4 linked regions of the Pelodiscus sinensis genome follow. The protein of the gene in region 2 purifies or fractionates together with the protein of the main gene of each other region. This does not show direct contact. Links are inferred from orthologs where the notes say so. Each region holds a gene or a part of one and is shown on either strand. Other genes may lie near its edges.

What was found.
Region 1: the proteins of HNRNPC (region 2) and NCBP1 purify together in Homo sapiens (co-immunoprecipitation; 3 studies listed by BioGRID and IntAct, with this or other methods). This does not show direct contact. The link is inferred for Pelodiscus sinensis from reciprocal best matches to the Homo sapiens genes HNRNPC and NCBP1.
Region 3: the proteins of HNRNPC (region 2) and CHD4 purify together in Homo sapiens (affinity purification with western blotting; 3 studies listed by BioGRID, with this or other methods). This does not show direct contact. The link is inferred for Pelodiscus sinensis from reciprocal best matches to the Homo sapiens genes HNRNPC and CHD4.
Region 4: the proteins of HNRNPC (region 2) and U2AF2 fractionate together in Homo sapiens (co-fractionation; 3 studies listed by BioGRID, with this or other methods). This does not show direct contact. The link is inferred for Pelodiscus sinensis from reciprocal best matches to the Homo sapiens genes HNRNPC and U2AF2.

Annotation. Positions count from the first base shown.
Region 1 is NC_134716.1:345,934-353,319, reverse strand, and holds the start of NCBP1 (nuclear cap-binding protein subunit 1), read left to right. Parts: upstream 1-4,474; coding exon 4,475-4,508; intron 4,509-7,379; coding exon 7,380-7,386. Other genes in the region: TSTD2 (thiosulfate sulfurtransferase/rhodanese-like domain-containing protein 2), read right to left, coding at 4,233-4,476. UniProt on the Homo sapiens protein: Component of the cap-binding complex (CBC), which binds cotranscriptionally to the 5'-cap of pre-mRNAs and is involved in various processes such as pre-mRNA splicing, translation regulation, nonsense-mediated mRNA decay, RNA-mediated gene silencing (RNAi) by microRNAs (miRNAs) and mRNA export.
Region 2 is NW_027465841.1:161,174-168,040, forward strand, and holds the start of HNRNPC (heterogeneous nuclear ribonucleoproteins C1/C2), read right to left. Parts: upstream 3,004-6,867; 5' UTR 2,865-3,003; intron 1-2,864. Other genes in the region: G-protein coupled receptor 4-like, read right to left, coding at 5,992-6,867. UniProt on the Homo sapiens protein: Binds pre-mRNA and nucleates the assembly of 40S hnRNP particles. Interacts with poly-U tracts in the 3'-UTR or 5'-UTR of mRNA and modulates the stability and the level of translation of bound mRNA molecules. Single HNRNPC tetramers bind 230-240 nucleotides.
Region 3 is NC_134711.1:138,730,550-138,737,527, reverse strand, and holds the start of CHD4 (chromodomain-helicase-DNA-binding protein 4), read right to left. Parts: upstream 3,008-6,978; 5' UTR 2,852-3,007; intron 1,631-2,851; 5' UTR 1,557-1,630; coding exon 1,454-1,556; intron 1-1,453. UniProt on the Homo sapiens protein: ATP-dependent chromatin-remodeling factor that binds and distorts nucleosomal DNA. Acts as a component of the histone deacetylase NuRD complex which participates in the remodeling of chromatin.
Region 4 is NW_027465849.1:3,175,601-3,182,962, forward strand, and holds the start of U2AF2 (splicing factor U2AF 65 kDa subunit), read right to left. Parts: upstream 3,007-7,362; 5' UTR 2,458-3,006; coding exon 2,409-2,457; intron 1-2,408. UniProt on the Homo sapiens protein: Plays a role in pre-mRNA splicing and 3'-end processing. By recruiting PRPF19 and the PRP19C/Prp19 complex/NTC/Nineteen complex to the RNA polymerase II C-terminal domain (CTD), and thereby pre-mRNA, may couple transcription to splicing.

The sequences.
Region 1 (7,386 bases), on a different chromosome or scaffold from region 2:
ACAGATATCAGACAAGATCACAAAGAGAAAACAGTTTCTTGCCACTTTAACCAGAAAGGACACTCTCTAAATGACTTAGCCACCTGCATTCTGCTACAAAGACCTTTTACATCTGCACTTGAAAGGGAATCCTCTGAACTGTCATTCATGTTAAAATTCGACACTTACCAACAGGGACTTAACAAGTCTTTGAACTTTCTCACCCATTACCAAGACAGTTTCCCCAATTATCACCTGTAATACCATTAACTCACAAACATCCCACTCTCCCTACCTTTAATATCAGCAATTCACAGACACTTACCTTCCTTCCTCCCCCTTCCCACCCCCCCGCATCCCCCTTCTGTTCTGCAATGTGATTTGTCCTTTTCATATTTGTTCATTTTTTTAAATTCTATCCTTTGGTGTATATATGGTTGTGACTACTTTCTTCCACTATTTGATCTGAGGAAGTGGGTCTGGCCCACGAAAGCTCATCATCTAATAAACCATCTTGTTAGTCTTTAAAGTGCTATATTGTCCTGCATTTTGCTTCAACTACCCCAGACTAACACGGCTACATTTCTATCACTACTCATGATTTCAAAAATCCTGACCTGTTCATTGGAGAGGGTGACTGATCAGTGTGCTAAATAGTGCATAGCAGGCCATGGATTTTAGGGTGCCCTCTTCTCTCTCCCTTGCCAGGTAGGCAGATTGGAGTGCTACACTCTGTATCGGAGGAAGCATGCCTCATCTCACACCTCCTTCCTGGAAACACTTCACTTCAGGGACAATTTACAATTCACAACCTTTTTACACTAATTTTATGGACAAAATAACACTTATGGACTGCTCACCTTGATAGTGTTACTATTCATACTAATAAACTGGAACCACATACAACTGCCACAAGGAGGGAGAGAGAATGTGTGATATCTGCGCAACACCAAGAACATACATGTACTTGGGTCTCTAGCATCCTGTCACCTTGCTTCTCTTCCAGAGGTTTCTATTAGAGCACACTAGGAATTCAAGTCTTGCTCAGTCTGGGAGGTGTTCTGTACCAGGGGACATACACTTTCCACAGAGCTGGCTAGAAAGGGGAATTTCCATCCTGCAGAAAATACCAACATTCTGAAATTTGTTTGGGAACAAAAAGTCAAGTTTTTGAACCTTTTCACAGCATGGAAATTCCAAAAAAAGTTTGATTCAGAACATTTTGTTTTTATAATGTTGAAACATGTTAGACATATATTTAACGTAGAATATCAAAATGAATGAAATCCAGGAAATCAAAATGAAATATTGGTGCCTTATTGAAACAACATATTTGGACTTCACATCAAGCAATCCAAAATAATCTGACACTTGGCTATTGAAAATGTACCTGTTCCCTCAAAATGGTTTTAGACTAGTGGACCCCAACCTTTTGGGGCTCCCGGGTGCCAGGGGGTGGGGCCATTCATTGTGCCAGGCGCACAGGGGCGGGGCTGCATATGTGCCCGGGGATGGGGCCACCCATACGCCATGCGCCTGGGGTTGGAACAGCCCATGCGCTGCATGCCTGAGGCTGGCGCCGCTCCTGTGCCGCGCGCCCAGGAGCCGGTAGTGCCTATGCACCGCGCGCCTGGGGCCAGCGCTGTTCCTATGCTGCACGCCCAGGGGCGGGGATGCCCGTGTGCTGAGGGCCAGGGGCGGAGATGCCCGTGTGCTGAGGGCCCCGGGGCGGGGATGCCCGTGTGCTGAGGGCCCCGGGGCGGGGATGCCCGTGTGCTGAGGGCCCGGGGCGGGGATGCCCGTGTGCTGAGGGCCCCGGGGCGGGGATGCCCGTGTGCTGAGGGCCAGGGGCGGGGATGCCCGTGTGCTGAGGGCCCCGGGGCGGGGATGCCCGTGTGCTGAGGGCCCGGGGCGGGGATGCCCGTGTGCTGAGGGCCCCGGGGCGGGGATGCCCGTGTGCTGAGGGCCAGGGGCGGGGATGCCCGTGTGCTGAGGGCCCCGGGGCGGGGATGCCCGTGTGCTGAGGGCCCCGGGGCGGGGATGCCCGTGTGCTGAGGGCCCCGGGGCGGGGATGCCCGTGTGCTGAGGGGCAGGGGCGGGGATGCCCGTGTGCTGAGGGGCCAGGGGCGGGGATGCCCGTGCGCTGAGGGCCAGGGGCGGGGATGCCCGTGTGCTGAGGGCCCCGGGGCGGGGATGCCCGTGTGCTGAGGGCCCCGGGGCGGGGATGCCCGTGTGCTGAGGGCCCCGGGGCGGGGATGCCCGTGCGCTGAGGGCCAGGGGCGGGGATGCCCGTGCGCTGAGGGCCCGGGGCGGGGATGCCCGTGCGCTGAGGGCCCCGGGGCGGGGATGCCCGTGCGCTGAGGGCCCCGGGGCGGGGATGCCCGTGTGCTGAGGGCCAGGGGCGGGGATGCCCGTGAGCTGAGGGCCCGGGGCGGGGATGCCCGTGCGCTGAGGGCCCGGGGCGGGGATGCCCGTGTGCTGAGGGCCCGGGGCGGGGATGCCCGTGTGCTGAGGGCCCGGGGGGGGGATGCCCGTGTGCTGAGGGCCCCGGGGGGGGGATGCCCGTGTGCTGAGGGCCCCGGGGGGGGGATGCCCGTGTGCTGAGGGCCAGGGGCGGGGATGCCCATGTGCTGAGGGCCCGGGGGGGGGATGCCCGTGTGCTGAGGGCCCGGGGGGGGGATGCCCGTGCGCTGAGGGCCCCGGGGGGGGGATGCCCGTGTGCTGAGGGCCCGGGGGGGGGATGCCCGTGCGCTGAGGCCCCGGGGGGGGGATGCCCGTGTGCTGAGGGCCCCGGGGCGGGGATGCCCGTGAGCTGAGGGCCCGGGGGGGGGATGCCCGTGCGCTGAGGGCCCTGGGGGGGGGATGCCCGTGTGCTGAGGGCCAGGGGCGGGGATGCCCGTGTGCTGAGGGCCCGGGGGGGGGGATGCCCGTGTGCTGAGGGCCCGGGGGGGGGATGCCCGTGTGCTGAGGGCCCCGGGGCGGGGATGCCCGTGCGCTGAGGGCCCGGGGGGGGGATGCCCGTGCGCTGAGGGCCCGGGGCGGGGATGCCCGTGTGCTGAGGGCCCGGGGCGGGGATGCCCGTGTGCTGAGGGCCCGGGGGGGGGGATGCCCGTGTGCTGAGGGCCCGGGGCGGGGATGCCCGTGTGCTGAGGGCCCGGGGCGGGGATGCCCGTGTGCTGAGGGCCCGGGGCGGGGATGCCCGTGTGCTGAGGGCCCGGGGCGGGGATGCCCGTGTGCTGAGGGCCCGGGGCGGGGATGCCCGTGTGCTGAGGGCCCGGGGCGGGGATGCCCGTGTGCTGAGGGCCAGGGGCGGGGATGCCCGTGTGCTGAGGGCCCGGGGGGGGGGATGCCCGTGTGCTGAGGGCCCGGGGCGGGGATGCCCGTGTGCTGAGGGCCAGGGGCGGGGATGCCCGTGTGCTGAGGGGCCAGGGGCGGGGATGCCCGTGTGCTGAGGGCCCGGGGGGGGGATGCCCGTGTGCTGAGGGCCCGGGGGGGGGGATGCCCGTGTGCTGAGGGCCCGGGCGGGGATGCCCGTGCGCTGAGGGCCCGGGGCGGGGATGCCCGTGTGCTGAGGGCCCGGGGGGGGGATGCCCGTGTGCTGAGGGCCCGGGGGGGGGATGCCCGTGCGCTGAGGGCCCGGGGCGGGGATGCCCGTGTGCTGAGGGCCCGGGCGGGGATGCCCGTGTGCTGAGGGGCAGGGGGGGGGGATGCCCGTGTGCTGAGGGCCCGGGCGGGGATGCCCGTGTGCTGAGGGCCCGGGGCGGGGATGCCCGTGTGCTGAGGGCCCCGGGGCGGGGATGCCCGTGTGCTGAGGGCCCGGGGCGGGGATGCCCGTGCGCTGAGGGCCCCGGGGCGGGGATGCCCGTGTGCTGAGGGCCCCGGGGCGGGGATGCCCGTGTGCTGAGGGCCAGGGGCGGGGATGCCCGTGTGCTGAGGGCCCGGGGCGGGGATGCCCGTGTGCTGAGGGCCCGGGGGGGGGGGATGCCCGTGTGCTGAGGGCCCCGGGGCGGGGATGCCCGTGTGCTGAGGGCCAGGGGCGGGGATGCCCGTGTGCTGAGGGCCCGGGGCGGGGATGCCCGTGTGCTGAGGGCCCCGGGGCGGGGATGCCCGTGTGCTGAGGGCCCGGGCGGGGATGCCCGTGTGCTGAGGGCCCGGGGCGGGGATGCCCGTGTGCTGAGGGCCCGGTGCTCAGACTCGGGCCCACTGGCGGCCCCCGAGCGGGATCGGGCCCTCGCGCAGGCGCCCCAGCTCACCGCGGCTGTGGGAACTTTGCGACGCTCCCTGGCCCGCCCCGGAAGCGATCCCCGCGCTCGCTGGGGCGCGCCGCACGCTAGCGGGGGAGGGGGCGGGGCGCGCCGCTCCCGCCGCCCTTTGCCCCGGAAGCAGCTCGCGGCGGGCAGGAAGCCGGAGCGGAGGGGCCGGCCGGAGGGAAACGCTTCTCGGCGCCGCCGCGGCCTCTGCCCAGCGCCGCTCCCGCCCCGCCCCGCCCGGCAGCATGTCGCGGAGGCGCCACAGCGACGAGAACGATGGTGAGCGCGGGGCGGCGGGAGCTCTCCGCAAGGCGGCGGGGCCGCGCAGCGCGCTCCCGGCGGGCGAGGGGCGCGCGCCTCGGTCCCCATCCCCTGAGGCCGAGCGGCCGTTACGGGCCCCGCGCGCCGCCCGTCGCTTCCCGCCCCCGCCCTTGGCGCACAGGCCGCGCGTGCTGCTCCGGCTCCTCAGACAGCCCCCCCCGCCCGCGCCTGGGATGGGACAAGCCGCCGCGAGTCCGCACGAGCCTTCCCCTCGGTCCCTGCGCGGCTCGGTCACTCGTGTCTGGAGCCACGGCCTCAGCTGTGGGGGAGGGCCCGGGTTGGGGGGTGGGAAAAACCATTTCCCTGGGGGGGGGGAGCGCTGGGCTGGGTTCCCTAGGGAGGCAGTGGAGTCTCCATCCCTAGAGGTGTTTGTCTCGGCTTGACACAGCCCTGGCCGGGCTGATTTAGATGGGGTTGGTCCTGCCTAGAGCCGGGGGCTGGACTTGACCTTCTGAGGTCTCTGCCGGCTCTGGGGTTCTGTGATTCTATGTCTTCAGAGCCTCCTCGGGCTGGTTACGTGCCGGGGTCTGGGCACCGCATTTCAAGAAAGATGTGGAGAAATGGGAGAGGGTGCAGAGAAGAGCAACAAGAATGATGAAAGCTCTAGAGAACATGAGCTATGAGGGAAGGCTGAAAGAACTGGGCTTGTTTAGTTTGGAAAAGAGAAGATTGAGGGGGGACATGATAGCCGTTTTCAGGTGTCTAAAAGGGTGTCACAAGGAGGAGGGAGAAAACTTGTTCATCTTGGTCTCAGAGGATAGAACAAGCAGCAATGGGCTTAAACTGCAGCAAGGGAGGTTGAGGTTGGACATTAGGAAAAACTTCCTGCCTGTCAGGGTAGTTAAACACTGGAATAAATTGCCCAGGGAGGTTGTGGAATCCCCATCTCTGGAGATATGTAAGAGTAGGTTAGATAAATGTCTATCAGGGATGGTCTAGACAGTATTTGGTCTTGGCAGGGGACTGGACTCAATGACTTCTTGAGTTCCCTTCCAGTCCTAGTATTCTTTGATTATACCCCTTTAGTGCTGTATGCCTGCAGCCCAGACCAGCTCTGTGAAGACCTGGTGTTACCCTTCACTGACAAGGAACGCGCATTTAGGAAGGCTTTCCAAGCTGCAGGGGTTTGCTCCCACTTCTGTTCTACATGCAGCTACTAGGCAAACCTGTGAGATGCCTGGATTCAAGTACCAGATGAGTCAGCTGTATGCAGTGAAGAACAGGTAGAGCCATGCTACTATCACCAAGGTAGCCCAGTGCTTTGACATCAGCTGATATGTGAACAGCTTTCTGAAGCTGAACTCAGGCAAGACTTGAGAGCAGTCAAGTTGGGGAATTTGCAGTCCCAGGGCAGTCAGCTTTTGTTAAAAGTCCTCAACTGATCACGTCAGTCTGCAGATCAGCAATGCTCTTGGGTTCCTTGCTAGCACACCAATACTGATGTGATATAGCTGGACATAAAACCATCAATCTGCCTAATGCAGACCACTGCAACAAAGGCTACTGGGAGCACGCTGAATTGTTCTGAACTCTACATTGACTTTTTAGAGAGTATTACATCAAGGTCTCCATTTTTATCTTGAAGGTGCTTAATGATCTGTGCCCAACATGTCTAAAAGATCAGCTAAAATTCTGACATGAGGACTAGTCGACAGCTTCACTCCCTTAACACAATAGAATGTACTATCATAAGGGAAAGTTCATCTCTGCAGGTGGCAGGCTTTCTCAATGGCCAGTTCCAGGCTGGTCACCAAACTCCCTAGGGAACAAAGCACCAACACAAACTTCACCACCTTTGCATCAGCTTCAAGGGGCACTATTTCCACCTTGCCTTCTCCACCATCTGTACAGCAGGGTGCAGCTTTACTAAAACAAAGGATAATTCATGTACAGCTTTTCCTCTGGGAGATGGTGAAAAAATGAACCACATGTGATAGCTGTCAGTCATGTCACTTAGTGCCTTGGTGATGACAGTATGATAACATATATGTATATAAGAGATGCACCTTTGAGGGTATATATAGTTCATTTGATGCAATTCTAAGATAGAAAATCTACTCTTTTACGGCCAACATTTTCAGCTCTGACCTTCAAAGATAAATTCAGTCATTTAGAATTCAACTACATCTGCTCTTAAAAGGTCTTTATCGCTTGTTTGCCTAGTCTTTTTTCCAAAATACAAAATCTTTACAGGTTGAATCTCTCTAGTCCAGCACTCTTGGGACCTGACTGGTGCTGAACCAGAGAATTTGCTGAATCACAAGAGGTCAGTATTGTCTAGCAGAATTACCAACACTGCCACGGCTAACTAAAATCATGCCGGACTACGGATATTGCTGGACTAGAGAGATTCAACCTGTGAGTAAAAGGCTACCTGAACCTCCTTGCTCAGGCATTTTCTCATGTTATCTTTGGTGCCAGATAATCCCATGTGCTACTTCAGATGAGCTGTACCTAAGTACTACTAATTCTATAATGTGTGTGTAACTTGCATTATCAGTGGTACGCACGTAGTATCTTGCTACTTTAGCAGAAATGCACTTCCAAAAACATCTTTCAAATAAGAAAGTAAAAAGGATTTGATTAGCGGTGAACAAAATCCTAGAGAGTACAAGGCTACAGAAACTGAGTATGTTTTAATTACTCTTAGCTTTGTTTTTCATGTTTTGTTGGGTCTGTTTAAAATAAACACTTGAGTATCTTTTTGGTCCTTTTTATTATTGTACAGAACTGGCACATGGGCTGAGGCTGACAGAATTGTTCAAAAACATTTTTAAAGCTGTTGAGTTACTAACTGGCATTCTTGGTTTTATTACTGTATTGAAACAGGAGGACA
Region 2 (6,867 bases):
CTTCCAGGCAAAGCCTGACACAGGACATTTGCACTAGCTGCTCAAATCCCTAACTACAGTGATGTTTGTGCCCAGAGACCATACAGAGCTTCTTTTTGAATCAGAGGTAACACATAGGGCCCTACTAACTTCACAGCCAAGAAAAATGCATCAAGGACCAAGAAATCTGGCTTTGTCCTCCCCTCCCTGCCCCCCATGAAATCTGGTGCTCCGGGTTTTTACCCTATTCTATGCAGATTTTACAGGGAAGACCAGTGTTTCTCAAACTGGGGGTCCTGGTAATTGCAGGGAGGTTATACATTTTAGGGGGTCATAATATTGCCACCATTATGTATGTGATGCCTTGAGAACAGAGCTCCCAGCTAGGGCTCTGCAGCTGCAGAAATAAGGGCAGCAATATCACAACCCCACTTTCAATAACTTTGCAACCTGTCTCCCACAACTCCTTTTTGGGCTAGGACCATAGAATTATTGAAAATCCTGTGACCATAAAATCGGCCCAAATGGACCATGAATTTCTTAAGGCCTTAGTAATAAGGGGGCTAGCTGCCCTTCCCAGGATCCCTGCCACGCAGGTACCATTGCAAGTGGACCTGACAAAGCGTGCATGGGGACAGCGGTTTCTGACCATGGAGGCAGTTCACACCCTCTGCCCCAGCCCCAAAACTACCTCAGACACATCTGACTTCCTGAGTGACTCCTGCCACTAAGCTCAAAGGCAGGGGAGCCAGAGTCTAGACACCCACAGCCATGGGTCATGTGTCTAGTTCCCCTCCTCCTGCAAGGGGAGAGAGCAGGGAACACAAACCAGGAGAGTTATCCTTGGACATACCATTCTCCACCCCCCAGGGGCATGTCCCCTGGGGCAGGATATTCACACTGTCAGTCATCCCCTCACTGCCCCCCACCACTGCACTGGAGGTTTTCAGATTGGGCAGCACCATTCCCCCTCACAATTCCCTGCATGGGCCTCCCCGAAAAAAGGGCAGATTCCCCACCACCACTGTTGGAGGGTAGGGTGGGGGGGGGGGACGACAAAATGGCCCCTCCTCCAGGGCACCGCCATTAACAGAAAAGGGAAAAAACATGTATGCCACCCCCCCCACGCCATTCCCGGGGGAAGGGGGGTGTGGGTACCCTCCCCCCCCTTCGGCCCGCGCCATTCCCGAGGGGAGGGGTGTGTGTACCCTCCCCCCCTTCGGTCCGCGCCATTCCGGAGGGGAGGGGTGTGTGTACCCTCCCCCCGCTTCGGCCCGCGCCATTCCCGAGGGGAGGGGTGTGTGTACCCTCCCCCCGCTTCGGCCCGCGCCATTCCCGAGGGGAGGGGTGTGTGTACCCTCCCCCCCCCTTCGGCCCGCGCCATTCCCGAGGGGGAGGGGTGTGTGCACCCCCCCCTTCGGCCCGCGCCATTCCCGAGGGGGAGGGGTGTGTGTACCCCCCCTTCGGCCCGCGCTATTCCCGAGGGGGAGGGGTGTGTGTGTACCCTCCCCCCCCCGTCGGCCCGCGCCATTCCCGAGGGGGAGGGGTGTGTGTACCCCCCCTTCGGCCCGCGCTATTCCCGAGGGGGAGGGGTGTGTGTGTACCCTCCCCCCCCCCGTCGGCCCGCGCCATTCCCGAGGGGAGGGGTGTGTGTACCCCCCCCCCCTTCGGCCCGCGCCATTCCCGAGGGGGAGGGGTGTGTGTACCCTCCCCCCCTTCGGCCCGCGCCATTCCCGAGGGGGAGGGGTGTGTGTGTACCCTCCCCCCCCTTCGGCCCGCGCCATTCCCGAGGGGGAGGGGTGTGTGTGTACCCTCCCCCCCCTTCGGCCCGCGCCATTCCCGAGGGGGAGGGGTGTGTGTACCCTCCCCCCCTTCGGCCCGCGCCATTCCCGAGGGGGAGGGATGTGTGCACCCTCCTTCGGCCCGCGCCATTCCCGAGGGGGAGGGATGTGTGCACCCTCCCCCCCCTTCGGCCCGCGCCATTCCCGAGGGGGAGGGGTGTGTGCACCCTCCTTCGGCCCGCGCCATTCCCGAGGGGGAGGGATGTGTGTACCCTCCCCCCCCTTCGGCCCGCGCCATTCCCGAGGGGGAGGGGTGTGTGTACCCTCCCCCCCCCCTTCGGCCCGCGCCATTCCCGAGGGGGAGGGGTGTGTGTACCCTCCCCCCCCCCTTCGGCCCGCGCCATTCCCGAGGGGGAGGGGTGTGTGTACCCTCCCCCCCCCCTTCGGCCCGCGCCATTCCCGAGGGGGAGGGATGTGTGTACCCTCTCCCCCCTTCGGCCCGCGCCATTCCCGAGGGGGAGGGGTGTGTGTGTACCCTCCCCCCCCTTCGGCCCGCGCCATTCCCGAGGGGGAGGGGTGTGTGTGTACCCTCCCCCCCCTTCGGCCCGCGCCATTCCCGAGGGGGAGGGGTGTGTGTGTACCCTCCCCCCCCTTCGGCCCGCGCCATTCCCGAGGGGGAGGGGTGTGTGTGTACCCTCCCCCCCCCCCTTCGGCCCGCGCCATTCCCGAGGGGGAGGGGTGTGTGTGTACCCTCCCCCCCCCCTTCGGCCCGCGCCATTCCCGAGGGGGAGGGGTGTGTGCACCCTCCTTCGGCCCGCGCCATTCCCGAGGGGGAGGGGTGTGTGTACCCTCCCCCCCCCCTTCGGCCCGCGCCATTCCCGAGGGGGAGGGATGTGTGTGTACCCTCCCCCCCCCCTTCGGCCCGCGCCATTCCCGAGGGGGAGGGGTGTGTGCACCCTCCTTCGGCCCGCGCCATTCCCGAGGGGGAGGGGTGTGTGTACCCTCCCCCCCCCCTTCGGCCCGCGCCATTCCCGAGGGGGAGGGGTGTGTGCACCCTCCTTCGGCCCGCGCCAGTCCCGGGGTGTGGAGCCCCCGCTCACTCACCGCTAGACCCCGCTCGGCTCCGCGTCGCTTTCCCCAGCTCGCGGCAGCCGCCTCACGCCGAGCTTCTCACAAAATGGCGTCCCGCCGCCCTCTGCGCCGCGCAGCCCCGGGCTAAGCGGTGCCCGCCCCCACACTCCCCCATTGGAGGGCGCGAAACCTGTCTCAGCAATGATTGACTAGCAATGGCGTCGATCACAGTACAGGCCAATGAGAGCAGAGAGGATGAGGGCGAGTCCAGGACTGGGCTGTGCCCCTTGCGCCTTAACGGGACGGAAATAAAGATACTGATTGGCTGAAGAACGTGTCACTTCATAGCCCTACTTCAGTTGTCCACTCTGATTGGCCTGTCATTCTTTCCCCGTCTCTATTACAATCTTTCCATTCTGATTGGAGAAGCAGCTCCTCCGGCCCCGCCCTAGCTCATGGGTCCCTATGATTGGTTAAAGGTTTTTCTTAGCCGACCCCACTCTAGTTTTCTCCGCACTGGTTGGCTACTGTGTATGTTAATCAACTCTCAACTGTTAGCTGACCCAATGGAGGAAAAGGCGGGCTCTAGCGTGTGTGATTGGAAGAGCTCCCTGGTGGCGGAATTTCCCATTGGTCACAGCGGGGATGACGATTAGGTGTCCTGACGCTGCCATTGCTGAGCCGGAAGGCGGGTCATGGCCCAGGTGGGAGGGGCGAGCAGCGAGCGCGAGGCTGAGGGCTGCGCGCGCTGGCGCCAGTCGGGGCTAGGTCCACGAGGGGGCTGGGGGAGCTGACGGGGCGGGAGGAGAAGGGGGGTCTGGGGGAGCTGACGGGGCGGGGCAAGGGCTCAGGTGGGTCCTGTGCCCGCTGCCCCCTCCTGAGCCCCTTGCTACACCGTGTGGGTCCCACTCCACTGGGCAAGGGCTGCACACGCGCTTCATGGGGCTCCATTGAGACCCCCCCCAGGCACGGGGGGAGGCCAGCAACGCGTCCTCCTGGGGGAGCTACTGCCCTTCGCACAGGCTGTGAGACAGAGGCACTCGGGTCGGACCAGAAGTGCCCCCCCAAGGGATGAGGGGCCAGCTGCTCAGCGCACGCATGCACAAAAGACATGCTGGGCTCAGTGGGTTTCTTTGAGCCGTGTCCCCTGCAGCCGTCCTCGTGGCTCCACAACACGTGTGCTCTCGGTTCTGACATGCCCCCAGGCTCACTCCCACCGCAGCACTGCCTGGTTTCACTCACCCTAGACTTCCATCACCACATCATGCAGCTCGTTCCAGGAGGACACAGGTTCAGCAGTAAAGGAGAACGCTTTTGGTGAGCACAGGAGGGAGGCAACTCCAGTCAGGGCATGAAATCCTCTCTCTGGAGGTGGTCAGTGTCAATAAGCAGAGGTTAGTGACCTGGAATTTATTCAGACTGGAATATTTAATGGTATTTCCCTGATAGAAGGTTGCTGTAACAGGAAACGGCAGCTGACCAGGACCCACTTGAGGTGGCACCAGCTTGAACTTGGCTCTGCTGCACATGCTCCGCAGCGGCTGGCAACCAGCAGGAGGATGCTCCATCACCCCACCTGCCAAGAGCACCTTCCTCAGTGGGCAGGGGAGAAGCTGCAGGGGCGCTCCTAGCCGACACCGAATGCACGGACACGCTGCTGACTGGCGACGCCTGCCAGTGCCAGTACGCCGTGGACCAGGAAGAGAGAGGGGCCGAGAGTGGCGGCACGGCCCTCCCAGTGTTGGCCACGTTGTCAGCGGATGTTCAAAAGAAGCGCCCCTGCTGCAGAAAGGGGTGGCAAGACGGAGCGGTGGGAAGCAAGCAGGAGAGAAGGAAGAAGTGGCCCAGGGCTTTGGAAGGGTTGGTGCATTAAGGGTCTCAACCCCACCAACCTGACCAGTGAATTGAATCCTGGGCCTTAGGGCCCTGGGCCAGGGCTGGGTGAGGGGGTGGGCCCGAGCCCCCCTACCTTCCCCCAGCTGCCAGCGGGCCGAGCAGGCCTGCAACATTGGAGTGTTGTGAGAGACTGTCACCTGATTAGATTTGGCCGACGGATCAGTGTCCTCCCAGCCAGGGAGAACACTGGGGCATGCCCAAGTGGGCGTCGGGACGACGGGGAGCGAGAGGACCTCCCTGGGGCAGAGGACCCTGCCTGCCACATTGCACACATAGAACCCAGATGTGCCACATGTGGCCCACCAGACGGGTAGACAATTCCTCATATCTCTGTTGCTCAGAACTAAGTGGGAATGTAGCATAGACATGAGTGACCTTTCTCTTTGTCCCATCATGGTTAAATTACAGCTTTTTGCTTGCTCTGGGTCTCTCTCCTTTTCCCCTGTGGGCACGATTTCTTTACCTTTCACCCTTTGTGGAGAGTAGGTCTTTTTTTCACCAGCAAAGATCTATGTCTCTATATCCTGTAAGTTTGGATGAATTTCTTCTCCACGCTAACATTAAATGCTAAAGGTCCAGCTTTTAAAATGATGGTACCTGCCTCAGCTTATGTGGGACCTGGAGGTAAAGTCCATGAAGAAACAATGCAGGAAGAAGGACAAAGCCATGGTGGCTGTCTTAAAATGTGCATAAGATCTTCCCCGTGGGTAACTCTGGCACTACCTGTTCTTATCCATCTATATCCAATCCTAGAGCCTAGTCTAGTGGTCTGTGTTAATTCATCATGTGCCCATCCAATGTTGCTACCTTTCCCAATATTATCAATAGCCTCAAAATATTAAATGTTAAAGGCCCATCTTTTGAGATTATATGTTTCCATGAGACTTACTGTTTATTTAAAAGATCACGATAGGTCCCTGATTGCTGTGAAAAACTAGAGCTCTAACCATAAATGCAAAAAGACCTAATATGTAGTATTCATGAACCAATCTAATTATTATTATTTTGTGGCTCAACTCAACCTGTCTCTAAGGTACTTCTCCAAGAGGTTCTGAGTGAATAGAAGTCCCTGGAGGGATCATGTTTCCCTTCATGTTTCTTTGTGGTTACAGGGGCAGAGTTGCTTCATAAAAGGGAAGCAGAGAACAAGGCCAATCCCTGGTCCGATGCAGGGACCTTGACATCCAAATGGATTCCCACCACCTCACTGGGTATCTTATGCATCAGTCTGAACCAGTGTCCACCTAATATTTCCATTCTTGCCTTAATCTACTTGTGACTGCCCCCGATCCAAGACCTTGCAATACAAGTGATTTCCAATTTCTTTCCGCACATCTTTAAGGAGCAGGATGTACAGCAGAGGATCCAAGACATTGCCAAGTGTGGTAAGGCACAGCGCTACCTGATGGTAAAAGAAGAGGTTTGTTTCAAAGAGGCAGAGTTGGCTGTCTTGATCGTATGGAAGCCTCTCTCTCTGGTATTTGTAGAGGGAGGTCACCTGGTAAGGCACACAGAGCAGGAAGAAGGAGATGATGATGAGGGAAATGAATCCGTAGATTTGCTGCTTTTCCTCCTGATCCAGTGATGGCACCTGCCTGAGCTTGTGCAGGACCCGAAGGTAGAAGAAGCCCATGAAGAAACAAGGTAGGAAAAAGGACAAAGGCATGGTGGCCATCTTAAAATATGCATAGGACCTCCCCAGTGGATAACCCTCATTGCAGCGCTCTGGTTCTAGATTCTTCAGCAGTAGACCAATCCCCACGGAACAGACGCTGAGCACCAGCCCCCAAGCCATGGCACTGACCTTGGTGGCACCACATATTGTGTTTAGCCTCCGGAACTCAAGGGGATGGACCAGGCCTATGTAGCGCTCCATAGCAATGAGGCACAGGAAACCATTCTTGGCATAAAAGTTGGTGATGAAGCCCCAGCTGACTGCCAGGCAGGCCTTGAGCCCCAAAACCCAGTTGTGATCCAAATAGCTGTAGTAGATCCAGAAAGGTAGCATCAAGATCTGCAGTAGGTCAGCGACCACCAGGTTCAACATATAGACAGAGAGGACGATGGACTTCTTTATCTGGGATACCAGGACCCACATTGCCAGGCAGTTCAGTGGCAAGCCAGCCCCCAGTACCACAGA
Region 3 (6,978 bases), on a different chromosome or scaffold from region 2:
TGCACACAAGTGCGAATCAAAAAAACCCAAAACACCTTCTCTGATATGGCCCCTAACTAAGAAGGAGAAAAACATTCCCCACATCCTCCTCACACACCAGAGTCTTTGGGGGCCCAGGCTAGTAGATGGTGTGTGCTCCAGCTCTGCAGGAGGCCTACAGCATCAGCATGGGCTCCCCAATGCTGGGAGGGAGCCTTAGGCCTCAGGCCTTAATCTCCCCACCTCTGATCTAAGTGAGCTAACATATTGCATAGAAGACCTTAGCATACCCCTAGGAGTATGCATACCCTGGGCATAGCCCTGGTTAAGAGCCAGGGACCTAAGTGACTTCCCTGCCCCAGACTCAGACGCCTATGTACGAGGTAGGGATGATTTTAGAGTTCCTTTCTCAAACTCCTATTTTACACTGTTGCAAAATGAGTTGTACATCCATATAAGTCAGCAACAGATCTGGGAATAGAACCTGAAAACTGACTTTCAGCATCCAGGGCTCTAACCTGATTCAGATTCTCAGACAGAGACTTCAGTTACAGTGAAAGCCAGGTATGAGGCCTGAAGAGGCAAATACTAAGGCAGGGATTTTTAACTTTTTTCTTTGGAGTGTCCATCCCCCCCCCCCCACACACACACCATGCTATAAAAGCTCCACCCATGCCACAACCTATTTTTAACATATAAAGCCAAGGGCAGAATTAGGGGGTAGAAAGTTGGGCAACTGTCAAGGGCCCTGTGCTAGAGGGGGCCACCATGAAATTAAGATGGCTTGGCTTCAGTCCCAAATGGTAGGGTCCATGGCCCAGGCTTTTGCCCCATACAGTGGGGCTTTGCCTTTCCATCCTGGATCTCAGCAAATCTGGTGCCAGCCCTGCTTAGTAAACTCCCTGAAACCTACTCACAGCCCCCCAGGGGTCCCTGGATCCCTGACTGAGAGCAGTTGTACTAAGTGAAGTGCACAGGCAAGCTACTGATACAAAACACAAAAACAGGGGCTAAGGTGAACAGTGTAGAATGATCCATGGGAAGCTTGGAGAGTAGGGTGTGGTGAACAAAAAGTGGGTCATGCAATAGCCCAAGGCAGTTTCCTCTGGACTGTCAGCAGGTCTGAGCTCCCAGATGGATGAGAGGAAAGCCAGACACCTTGCCCTCCCACATACTGGTTCCAGTCCCAGCCATGGTACATACACCTTGCTGGCAACACACATGCCCCATTAAAACCAGACTCCCTGTCAGATGGATTGCCAACAGCCTGCACTAGCTTTGAATAAAATAATTTCTACTTCACCAAGGTGTGCAGACCACAGGTTTTAAAAAGGCCACAATAAAGAAACCAAAATATTCTAATCACCTGGGCTCTTAATAAAACAAAACTTATCATTTACATGCATCACCCATTCAATAAAACTGATAGACCCACTACCACTCCTTTTTACAACGGTAGCCCTGGGCATCCTACCTATACCTTGGTGCTGGGCAATGCTGTTATTCAGCAGGATCTCCATCTCCTCATCATCACTGCCAGCAGAACAAGGGGACGGGGAGCCAATGCCCGATGCCATGTCCTCCAAACTGGGGTACCCGGGCTCCAACAGCTTCTGCAGCCTTGTCTCCTCCTTGCCAGTCAGGCCAGTAACTTAGCATAAAAAAGTTAACTTTGATAGTCAGCACGAACCCACGTTCCCATACAATAATGTTACCCAATGGATGACCTACATTAGAAGGCTTTAAAAAACATCAGTATGGAATTTAGAACTGCTCGCCCCCCAAATAAGGGAGGAGTAGAGAAGAATGGAAATGCTGAGATTGGGCACTAGTTGAGGGTCCTGATGGGGGCAGTTTTGTGTCTACTGGGAATTAAACTGTCAGGAACGGACTGCAGGCAAAGGGCCACCAAATGGCAGTCCGATGATAGTTTCCAAACCCTTTCTGACATGACGCCAGACTAGCCCCGGTGCAGTAGAGCATGGCTACATGGAGTTCGGGGGCTTTTAAGTCAATCGGTCACCATTTAATTCGAGGCAGTTAACACCTTCGTCAAAGCTGCTCTTGATGACCCCTCACCCCAACTTTTGTGGCTTTACTACTCCAGGGAGTCAGCCCCGGCTGAGCTACCGGCGGGTGCAGCAGGGAACAAGTGTTTGAGGAACAGCCAAACTCGCTTTTGCAAAGTCTTCCCTGCCTCGAGCTGGCGATCAATGGACGGGAGGGAAAGCTCCAAGGAAGACCGGCTCCTAGCGGTGCGAGAGACCCGCGTCGCAGCCGCCCCCTTCCCCACCGGGCCCCCACCAAAACCCTTTCTAGTGCCGGGGGCCCACGTGCCCCCGCCCCACGGACCCGGCGAGGCAGGACCAGCCACAGCCGCGCGGTCCAGGGGCCCCACCACGCCCCCGGGAGCCGCCCCCCGCCCGCTTTCACGCAGGCAAAACAAAGGCGAGCCCGTGGCAGGCGCCGCGCGGGCTCCCGGCGAGCCCGCCCCCCCGCGCACAAGGAAGGGGGCGGCAGCAGCACGCGGCCAGCCGGGCTCCTGGCGGGGGGCGGGCGCAGCTGCGGCTCGGGGCGCGCGGCCAGTCCCGGGGGGCGGGCGGGGCGGCCCCGGGCAGCGCGAGGCGGCGGCGGGAGCGGGGCCGTTCCCCGGGCGGGGCGAGGTAGCGCCGGGGAAGGAGGGTCCCCGGGCGCCGCGGCCGCTCCGTGCCCAGCGGGGACACAAGGCGGCCGGGCCGAGGTCGGCGCCCCCGGGAGCCGGGGGGAAGGGCAGCTCCCGGGGCCGGGGGGCGCCGCCACGAGGGGTCAGCGCCGCGTCCTGCCCTTTGAAGCGATGTTGGGGGTTGTGTCCGGTCCCTGCCCCTCTCCTCACCCAGCTCGCCCCCGGCTCCTCGCTCTCGCTGCCGCCGCTGAAGGGAAAATGGCCCCCGCTCCAGCACCACCTCTTAAAGGGGAAAAAACCCGACCAGGCCCCTCCCCGCTCCCGCTTCCAGCCCATAATATGTCCCGACACCTCGGCAATGGGTCCGCCCCCGTCACCCTGGCAACCCCCTAACTGAGACATCCCATAATACTTGCCCTCCCTTTAGAACTCCCTACTCACTGGCCGGCCCAGCATCCCATAATAATCACCCCTCCCAGCAGGAACATCCCATAATACACCCCTCCCTCTGAGAAACATCCCATAATATTCCTCACACTTCACCCCCTCACTCAAACATCCCATAATATTACTCCTTTGCTAAAACATGCCATAATAGTCCCCTTCCCTCTCCCTCACAGAGACATCCCATAATAATTGTACTCTCCCCACACACTCTGACATCCACTCTCACCCCCAGTATCCCATAATATCTCTCCTCCCCATACCATTCCCCCCTCCCTCGTCCAGACATCCTACCATAATCCCCCTGCCTTGTTAAAATATCCCCTAATACCACACACTCACTGTCCAACCTGGCATCCCATAATAAGCACTACTCCCTCTACAACTCCCCCCCCAGACATTCCATAACAGCCCCCATAGCATCCCATAATAGTCATACCCCAGACAGATATCCCATAATAATAGTCGCCCTTCTCATCCTCCCCTCTCAGCCAGACATCCCATAATAGTTGCCAGGAGCCACTGTCCAGCCAGACATCCCATAATACTCTCAGCGATTCTTAGCCACAACCCACAATACTCCCACTGACTGCTTGCTCCCCCACTCCAGCCAGGCAGCCCATAATAATCACATTCATGTATTTCCCCCCCCACTCTACCCAGACAGACCAGAAGGCACCGGTGCCATCTGAATAGCCCACAGTACTCAAGCATGGAGACAAGCATCCTGTAGTACTACCTACCAATCCCTCCTCAGAAAATCTAATAATAATACTCACGATACATACTCACCATTCGCCCCACCCCCACTTCCCATCTACGCAGACCATAATAACCACTGGGGGCACAGGGCCAGCCATGCATCCCATAATACTCTGGCACAGACTGCCAGGCTTCTTTGTTCCTCCAGATGATACACTCAATGTATCCCATAATGATCAACACCCCCCTCCCAAACACACACTCAGGCAGGTAGCCCATAATATTCACTGGAATCAGCCTCTAGCCAGACATCCCATAATAATGATGTTCACCCCACTTTTAAAAGTGAATCAAGCATTCAATCCTACATATAAACCCCATTAAGGAATGCCATCCTACAGAACAGAAGAACAATCCATGTGAACAACTCTGAGACTCAAACATCCTACCAAGGTCAGGCATTATCCACCTCCCACTCCCAGATATTAGACATGTCCATCTCTTAATGATATACATCTTCATGGTATAAACTTAATAGTATCTTTATCCCTTCCATTTTATACATGGACTTCCCCTAATGGTATTTGTCCTTCTTTATAAAACACACAGCTATTCTATAACTGTGTCCTTCCCATTGTGTGTATATGTATATATGGACATCCCATAAGATTATTCACATCATTATATATACAGACATCCCATATTACAATCCTTGCATGCCCTAATAATATCTATTCTATCCCATTACACACATTAATATATTATCTAACCATTCCTTTATACACATGGATATCCCATAGTATTGTCCTCCCCTTTGTTGAACACACCAACATCCCATAATACAATCACTAATAATCCCTTACTATACACATGTAAATCCCATAATAGCACCCATCCCTATTTATGTGCACACAGAGACCATAACACTATCCACCCTTCCATTAGAGGTATCCATATCCCAGTTATATACAGACTTCCATATGACTATCCGTTCTTTTCATTATCCATATGGACATCTTACAGTATATACACACCCCATTGTAACCACAGGCATCTCATGTCCTTCCCTTAATACTGTATTTCAGTGGTCCCCAACCTTTAGAGGCTCCCGGGCGCCTGGGGGGGGGGCCACTCACGCTCCGGGCACCCGGGGGGGTGGAGCCATTCACGCACCAGGCGCCCGGGGGCGGGGCCGCGCGTCCTGGGGCACGCCAGGGGCGGGGATGCCCTTGCACCCGGCGCCGGCATGTGCCCCGGGGCCGGGGCCGGGGCCGCCCAAGCGCCTTGTGCTCAAGCTCCCCCACTGCCTCATCGTGGGCTGGAACATACAAAATCTGCTAGCCTGCATCCCTCTAGGCTCTGGCATGCAATGGTAATGTGGGGAGTATCTTTCACCTTCTTAGTCTGGGGCCATGTGAGTGAGGGGTTTTTGTTTTGTTTTGTTTTTTTTGGGGGGGGTTGCTTTTCATTTGTGTGCAGCCCCCGATTGATTTTTCTGTGGGTCAGTGGTCCCTGGCTCAAAAAAGTTTCCTCACCTCTGTCCTACACTGTCCATTCCTCCCAGTAGACACATGAACATCACTTAATACTACTCATTTTCTATTATACATGGATATTCTATAATGCTATCCAAACCCCTTGTTACATACACACACCTCCCACAACAGTATCCATCTATTGTTATAAACACAGCTACCTCATGATCAGGGCCGAACGAAGGCATGGGCGAGCCGGGCAGCTGCACAGGGCGCCAACCGATGAGGAGCGCCTGATGGCAGCTGTAAGAGGCGCGCGGCGTCCCTTACAGCTGACAACAGGCGCCGTGTGCCCGGCTTCCGCAGTGCCAGCCCCACGGTGCTGGCCAGCAGTGCCCTTGCCCTCACGGCTGTGGGGCCCTGCACAGCCTGGCACACGCGCCAGCAGCACACACCAGGCTGGGCTGGGCAGCGCATGCGCCATGCGCCCGGGGAGGGGGGTGTCGCGCGCCCAGGCCCAGAGTGCCAAAAGGGCTCGGGCCGGCCCTGGTCATGATACCACTGAAGCCTCTCTAGTACACATAGCCATCTCATAATACGATCTTTTCTTTGTTATAGTCATCCTACAATTCTGTCTATTCCCCCTTCCCCTGTGAAATAGTTACCCCATACTGCTATCCATTTCTCTTCACTCTGGCTATGTCTACCCTACACTTTTTTTCCAATTCTTTTTTCGGAAGAGGCTTTTCCAAAATTTGGCCCATCTACACTGGGCCAAATTTCGGAAAAACCTCCTCTTTCGGAAGTGCCCTTATTCCTCATAAAATGAGGAATACAGGGCTTCCGAAAGAGCGCATCTGCTCTTCCGAAAAAGAATTCAGAAGAGCAGACGCGTTCCCTGGATGTGGCGGAGTTTTTCTGGGATCCCGGAAAAATTCCATAGTGTAGACATGAGCCATGAGCATACATCCCATAATACACCTCTCATTATACACATCAGCATCCCATAATACTATCCATCTTATACACACATGGACGATTGACATCCTCCAAATTCAGTGTATGTATTTACACTACTATCCAAACCAGACTATCCACCTTAAAATACTTTTTACTACTCACAGTAGTACTTTTACTACTCACAGTAGTACTTTTACTACTCACAGTAGTAAAAATACTTTTACTACTCACCATCACTTTCCACCCACCTGTACACACACACACAATACATCTCTTCACCTCATTGCTTCAGTTTTTCAACTGTAAAGTGGAGAAAATGATACTGTCCTTCCTTTATGTGAGACGTATAGACAAAAATGCTGCGTAAGAAGTGAAAGATGTTACTCTTACAAATATTACTGGCAAGCGCCCAGTCTATCCACTGTAATAAACTCTATCACCTATTATAGACATGTACATCTTATCTTCATCCTCACTATACATGCAAATGTTCCATAAAGCTGTCCATTCCCTCTTTACACACTGATATCCAGTAATGCTATCAGGGTTGTGGTTGTTTGGGAAGAACCATAAAGCTTCATGATAAACAGGTCAACTGTCTACATACACAGCTGGTTATTACAGAGTTCTAGATATATCCCATACAAATTTCATCTTTATGGGTGTGATCAAGTTATTAAAGGTAACACAAGGCAGAATCTCTGGAACCAGGCCAAGTATCAAAGTTATGTCTCTGTATACCCTATACTACTTTTC
Region 4 (7,362 bases), on a different chromosome or scaffold from region 2:
CTGGAGCCACGCTGCACTTTGACGTAAGCTAGCTCCCAAAACACAATCTTCTGCTGTTTGCATAGGGGCTCGGCGGACAGCAATGGTGCTGGAACAGACTCCGCTTTACACCACAGCAGGATGTCCCATGTGCTTCCTTCCACAGGCAACAGAGAGGATCAATCTCCCAGCCACACAAGGGATTTTAAACCTATGCAGGTCCCGGGTCTGGATCCTCAGAGGGGTTTTTCCCTCTGAAAGCTCCAAGCAGGGCATCCACCCCCAATTCTATTACGGGCAAGAGACTCACACCTGGCTCCAAACACTTGCCTCTGGCTGCCGCTCCCCAGCATCCAGACATTAAGCCCTGGGGTGCCCCATGGTAGGGTGATACCTGCCCCTCCCCTCACCCCTTGGGGCTTATTTGCCAGGAGGGGACGACGGCCACAAGGGGATAACTTGGATTTCCCTCTCTCCCCACGGAGGGGCCTGAGGCTGCCGGGAGTGGGGGAAGGTGTTCCTGCCCCTCTCTCCCACCCCGCCACCTAGTGGGGGGGGGGGGGGAGCACACCCACATGTTTCAACCTCTCCCTAGCCTGCTACAATTAATAATCAAAATTCAGCGTCTCTGCCCAAGGGGATGGATACAGGGTGGAGAAGGTTAGGCAGGAGAAGCAGGGGCTGCCTGGGGGAGGAGGGGGGGGTTGCCGGCAAAGGGGCAGCAGGGAGGGGGCTGTGGGGATTGAGTGGGGCACAGGGAAAGCTGGCGGGTTGGGAGCAATCAGGGGCAGGCTGGGAGGTGGTGACAAATGGGAGCAGGTGCTCAAGAAGCGGGCAGGGAGCTCTGGGCACCAGCACAGGTTGGGGTGCTGCTGGGGGCCAGGTGGAGCAGGAGCATGGGGTCTGGCACTGCTATGGGGCAGGCAGACAGGCACTGGCAGAGGAAAGGGGAAGCGGAGGATGGAGAAGCTGTGGGGAGGTAAAGGGTAGCCAGCTGGAAGGCTATGGGGGGGCGTAAGAGGCACTCAAAGGTTGGGGGCCACGAGCTGGAAGGGGACTATGGAGCAGGGTGCGAAAGGGGGTGCTTAGGAGAAGGGATGCTAAAGGCATGGCTATTGGGACTAGGGGAATAAGAGCTATGGGGCAGGCTGAGGAACAGGGGGTGGGGGTCCTGCAGTGATTCTCAATGGGGTGGTACAAGCAAATTTCAGGGGGCAAGCTGGGCCAATGTTAGACTAGCTAGGGCCTAGTATGAAGCCCTGCTGCATGAGAATGAAATCCAGGGACCTGAGCCCTGCCCCCGGGACAATATAGTTTCATGTGGGCCCAGTGCCATGGGGCTGCAGGCAACTGCCCTAACTCCAACCCTGGCTTTTAGATGCAAAAAACCACTTATGGGGGCAGAAGTGGCTGGCTAGTTTTTATAGCATGGGGGAGAGGCTCAAAAAGGGTAAAACATGCAGGGTCTATGGGGTAGGGGAGAAATGAGGCTTGCTAGGAATCTATAGAAGCAGGGGACTATAGGGAGTGGGGGGGAGCCATGGACCAGGAGATCTCTGGGGATGGCTGGGAGGCCGAAAGGGCAGGGAATCTATGGGGCTAGCTAAGGGTCTCTGGGCTGGGGAGGGTCTAGGAGATGAAGTATAGGGGGGGTGGTCCATGGGGCTAGCGGAAGACCTAGATGGGAAGCCCATGGGACTACCTTGAAACTATGGGGTAGAAGAATCCATAGGACTGGATCAGAGGGGGGAGGGGGTTTACGGGGGCGGGAATCTGTGGAGGTGGGGGGAAAAAACGTGGGGTGGAGGGGGGGCCCCTATGGTGTGGTAGGGAGCCTGAGAGAGCACACTGTAGTGCAGGGGGAGCTAGGGAGCTAGCCAGGGGGCGCTATGGGGTGGGAGGGGAAGCCCGGGGGGGCGCTATGGGGCACGGGGTATCCATGTGGCTGGCGGGGAGGAGCGTTTTGTGGCGAGAGAGTCCGGGGGGGGGGGGCCATGGGGCTGGCCTGGGAGGTGCTACGGGGCGGGGGAGAAGCCCTAGGGAGCGCTATGGGGCAGTAGGGAACCTGGGGGCGGCCGCTATGGGGCGGGGGGAAGCCCTAGGGAGCGCTATGGGGCAGTAGGGAATCTGGGGGGGGGGCGCTATGGGGCGGGGGGAAGCCCTAGGGAGCGCTATGGGGCAGTAGGGAACCTGGGGGGGGCGCTATGGGGCGGGGGGAAGCCCTAGGGAGCGCTATGGGGCAGTAGGGAACCCGGGGGGGCGCTATGGGGCTGGCCAAGGAGGCGCTAGGGGGCGGGGGGAATCCATGGGGCTGGCCGGGGGGGCGCTATGGGGCGGGGGGGGCCCCGGGGACGGACGGGAAGCGCCCCCCCCCCCCGCACGCTACGGGGCCCCCCGGGGGCCCCGGCCCGGCCGCGCCCCGCCCCCACCTTGCTTGTTCTCGTTGAGCTGCCGCTCGAACTCGTCGAAGTCGGACATCGCGGCCCCCGCCTCGCTCCCGCACAGGCCGCGGCGCCTCCCGCTCGGCCCCTTCCGCCCCGCGCTCGGGGAGCTCCGCCGCCGCTCGGCCCCTTCCGCCCCGTGCTCGGCAATCTCCGCCACCGCTCGGCTACTTCCGCCCCGCACTCGGGGAGCTCCGCCGACAGTCGGCCCCTTCCGCCCCGCGCTCGGGGATCTCCGCCGCCGCTCGGCTCCTTCCGCCCCGCGCTCGGGGATCTCCGCCGCCGCTCGGCTCCTTCCGCCCCGCGCTCGGGGATCTCCGCCGCCGCTCGGCTCCTTCCGCCCCGCGCTCGGGGACTCTCCGGGCTCCTTCTGCGCGGAGACTCCGCCCACGCCCGGGCCGCGGCTTCGGAAGATTCCGCCTGCTCCTCGGCTCCGCCCTCCCCTCCCGCCTCTTCGCAACGCTGCTTCGGCTGCGGCCGGAGACGGGGGGAGGGGGCTTCGGCTCTTTCCGCCTTCCCGGCCGCGAGAGAGGAGAGCGCGCGCGGTCGCAGGGAAAGGGGCCAGAAAGAGGCCACTTCCGGTAGGGGGCGGAAATGGCGTATGGGGGCAAAGGGCAGCTCCTCCCACTCCCATAAGCCCCACAACTGCCCTAGAGCCCCGCCCCCTCCATGCTTCCTAGGTTCCCATCACCATTGATGGCCTGCCAGCTCCATGGGCATCCTGTCCCATAGCCCCCCCCCCCCACACTGAGCCCCTCCCAGCCCCATGGTCACCCTGCCCCATAGCCCCCTCACTGAGCCCCTCCCAGCCCCATAGTCACCCTGCCCCATAGCCCCCCCCACTGAGCCCCTCCCAGCCCCATGGTCACCCTGCCCTATATAGCCCCCCTCACTGAGCCCCTCCCAGCCCCATGGTTACCCTGCCCCATAGCCCCCTCACTGAGCCCCTCCCAGCCCCATAGTCACCCTGCCCCATAGCCCCCCCCACTGAGCCCCTCCCAGCCCCATGGTCACCCTGCCCCTTAGCCCCCCCCATAGTCACCCTGCCCCATAGCCCCCTCACTGAGCCCCTCCCAGCCCCATAGTCACCCTGCCCCATAGCCCCTTCACTGAGCCCCTCCCAGCCCCATAGCCACCCTGCCCCTTAGCCCCCCCCATGGTCACCCTGCCCTATATAGCCCCCCTCACTGAGCCCCTCAGTCACCCTGCCCCCATAGCCCCCTCACTGAGCCCCTCCCAGCCCCATAGCCACCCTGCCCCATAGCCCCCCCCATGGTCACCCTGCCCTATATAGCCCCCCTCACTGAGCCCCTCAGTCACCCTACCCCCATAACCCCCTCACTGAGCCCCTCCCAGCCCCATGGTCACCCTGCCCCATAGCCCCCCCATGGTCACCCTGCCCTATATAGCCCCCCTCACTGAGCCCCTCAGTCACCCTACCCCCATAGCCCCGTCACAGAGCCCCTCCCAGCCCCATGGTCACCCTGCCCCATAGCCCCCCTCACTGAGCCCCTCGGTCACCCTACCCCCATAACCCCCTCACTAAGCCCCTCCCAGCCCCCATGGGCATCATGCCCCATAACCTCCTCACTGAGCCCCTCCCAGCCCCATGGTCACCCTGTCTCCATAACCACCTCACTGAGCCCCTCCCAGTCCCCTATAGCCCCACAGAGCAAAGCATAATTCCTCAATTACTCCCACCCTCATAGACCCCCCCCCCCCCCCACCCTATAAAGGGTTGCTCATCCCTGGAGGTTTCATCTTCTGATAATGTTCCATTTTTGGGAACTCCAGGATAATCCTGGTGGGCTGGCAGCCTTTGCCCCATAACTTCCTGCTAGCCCCCTATTGAGCCTTACTGTCCCAGACATTCCATAGCCCTACTGAGCCCAGTAGTCCCCACTACTCCAGACATCCACCCTGTGCCTCACAGCAGCCTCATAATTTGCCTTTAGCTACCCACGGTCCCCCACTGTCACCCCCGAAGCCCCCACTAGCCAGACATTCCACAACTTCCCTCATCTGAGTCCCATAACTTCCCTTTAGCCACCCCATAGTCTCCATAGGGTGGAGGCCTGTGTTGCATTGGTTGCTGCCCTTGAAGTTCTTACAGTCGAAAGAGACAAATGTGGGGAAACTGAGGCACCACGGTGTGTCCCAACTCCTATGTAAACATCTGATCTGCGCCTCCAGCCTGGTTCTGTGCTTGGAAGATGCAGGTCTGTGCATTGATTCAGCATTGATGTGGTGGGTGGAGCCAGGTTTACCTGTGTATTTACCCCCACCAGCCCCTCGCCTCCCAAGGCAGGCCACATCTCCCCAGTGGTACCCTTCCCCCCATCCCATCCTCTTGCCCTCCCCCATCAAGCCAATACCCACCCTCAAGTTGAGCCTTTTGTCTCCTTCCCTAACCCTACCTCACCCCCCCACACACAACTAAATATAATCCCTTGCCTGGCCCCCTGCCCCTCACTTACCCAGCCCCCTATATAGGCCACCCAACAGAGTCACTTCTCCCCAATCCCATCTAGCCCCTACCCAGATGGGGCCCTAGACACCCACACCCTAAATCCAGACCCCCACAGCCAGCCTCCCTTTTGCATTTAAAGAGCTGGCTAACGGAGCTCAGCATCCAGGTTGTAGGGACCATAGGCCAGGGACCGTGTCCCTTTTCCGGTCAGAGTCACTAAACAGCTGCCCACGGATGCCTGGAGTTCACGGGGGTGAGATGCAGCGTTCCAAAGCGCCCCCCAGAGACGGATGGGGAGGGGCCATGGAGTGGAGGTCTTTGTGGGCCTCTTCGTACCAGGCACTGTCCGAATCCATGGAGGAGGCAGCCCCAAGTGTAAGGAGGAACAGCAGGGGCCCATAATCATCATTCCTGAGGTCCCAAAATCATGGCTCTCCTCCCAGGGCTTTTCTCAGAGCAGCCTGCTTGGACCTCTAGACCCCACTATCCTCCCAGAGCCAGGGAGAGAACCCCAGAGTCCTGGCTCCCAGGCCCGCCTGTAACCACTAGACCCCACTGTCCTCCCAGAGCCAGGGACAGAACCCCAGAGTCCTGGCTCCCAGGCCTGCCTGTAACCACTAGACCCCACTGTCCTCCCAGAGCCAGGGACAGAACCCCAGAGTCCTGGCTCCCAGGCCCGCCTGTAACCACTAGACCCCACTGTCCTCCCAGAGCCAGGGAGAGAACCCCAGAGTCCTGGCTCCCAGGCCCGCCTGTAACCACTAGACCCCACTGCTCTCCCGGAGTTCTGTTCTTTCAGCACGACCCCACCCTTCCATGCTAAAGGGATATAGCCACCCTATCTGAAATACCAGCCTCTTATTCTAGGGGGCCAGTCCAAGGTGGCTGGAGAACTCCTCTGGCTTGAGTGGGGGGCTCCTGAGGTCTAAAGGGATTCCGGGCCATGGCACAGAAAGGTTCAGGGGACAGGGTATCCCAGGTCTGGGCCAAGATGGGCCCTGTGTGTACGCGGGCCTCTGTCCATCTTCACTCCAGCCCCTTTCGGGGGGGAGGGGCTCTCTCCCTCGTGCTCCACCAGCCCCATTTGGGGAGCGTGGGCCGACGGCACCGCTCTGGGACAGAAGATCAGCCCAACGTGCCCATCTCACACGGTACTGGGCCAGCTTAGCACGAGATCACTTCCGTGGACCCCCTCTGCACCAGGCAGTGGGGCCCTGTAAGAACAGCCCCTGCACCCAATCAGACCACATCTCAGCCCCAGAGGAGGGGGTCCCTCGCGAAATAGCTCCTGGCCCAGAGAGTCTGACTCATACCAGGTGAGAGGTTATGGTATAAAAAGCCCCCAATGCCCTACTCCAGAGGCAGCTGCATTCCAGCACTCGGTGAGGGGTTTCTCCATAGAGCACCCACCCCAGAGCTGGTCGCATTTCCACACGAGTGTCTCCATCGAAACAGTCTCTGCACCCCACCCCAGAGGCGCCTGTTTTTAGGCCCAAGGGAAACTTTTGATAAGTAAATGAGACTCAGGCCTTGATTTATTCCAAATTTTCTTTTTTTTTTTAATTTAAATTCTCTTAATAAATTGATTTTTGTAGTTTTTTTTTTCTTTTCTTTTCTCTTTTTTTTTTTTTTTTTTAAACATAGAGAGGGCATGAAAGAACAGGCACGGTGGAGAAGAGTTTGTTACACGGAATTAAAAGGGGCGTCCCGGCCTGGCGCCCCTTGCACTCACGTACACATACAGGGCCAGCAGCTCGGGGCCGCGGTGCAGGGGAGGGACAAATCGCCCCCCCCCCCCAAAAAAAACCAGGGAACGGAGGAACTCAATGAAAACCCTGCGAGGGGGGCAGGGTGAGGCACCCAATTTAGTGCTTTCATCGGTGCCAGGCGGGAGCAGATGGAGTCAGTACCCACACTGCCCTGGGCACGGGGTGAGGGCGGCATTAGCAGGTGACGGAGCAGGGTGTGGGGGGAGAGGAGGAGGAGCGGGGTGGGGGGGGTCAGGTTTGGTCTCTAAGTGACGCGGGATCTGTATGCGGCGTGGATTTGAGGGGAGCAGTTCAGGGCAGGGGAGGTGAGGAAGGCAAGGCAGGCAGGCAGGTTGGGTCCAGGATCCAGACACCCCGCCCTCCAGTTGGAGATCGAGCCAGGATGGCCAATCAGCACAGTTTCTAGCAGCCTGTATGGCCAATCGGCACAGCACCCGCCCCCCCAGCGTCAGACCTTTTCCAGAACTGTAGGGGTAAAATTGACAAGCTGGGTCATGATTCGAGCCAGCAGCTCCAGGCCTCATTCCCTGAGCCAGCCAGTCCCCGGCATGTGCCTAGATGGGGCCCACACCACCTCATGAGGAAAAGCCCCACCCCCCTCCACCCCACTCCTCTGCCCCACAGAATTGTGCTCAGGCCTAATTTTTAGGCCTGACCTGGACCTAAAAGAAGGTCAACCTGCTTTCTCCAGTGTCACCTCCCG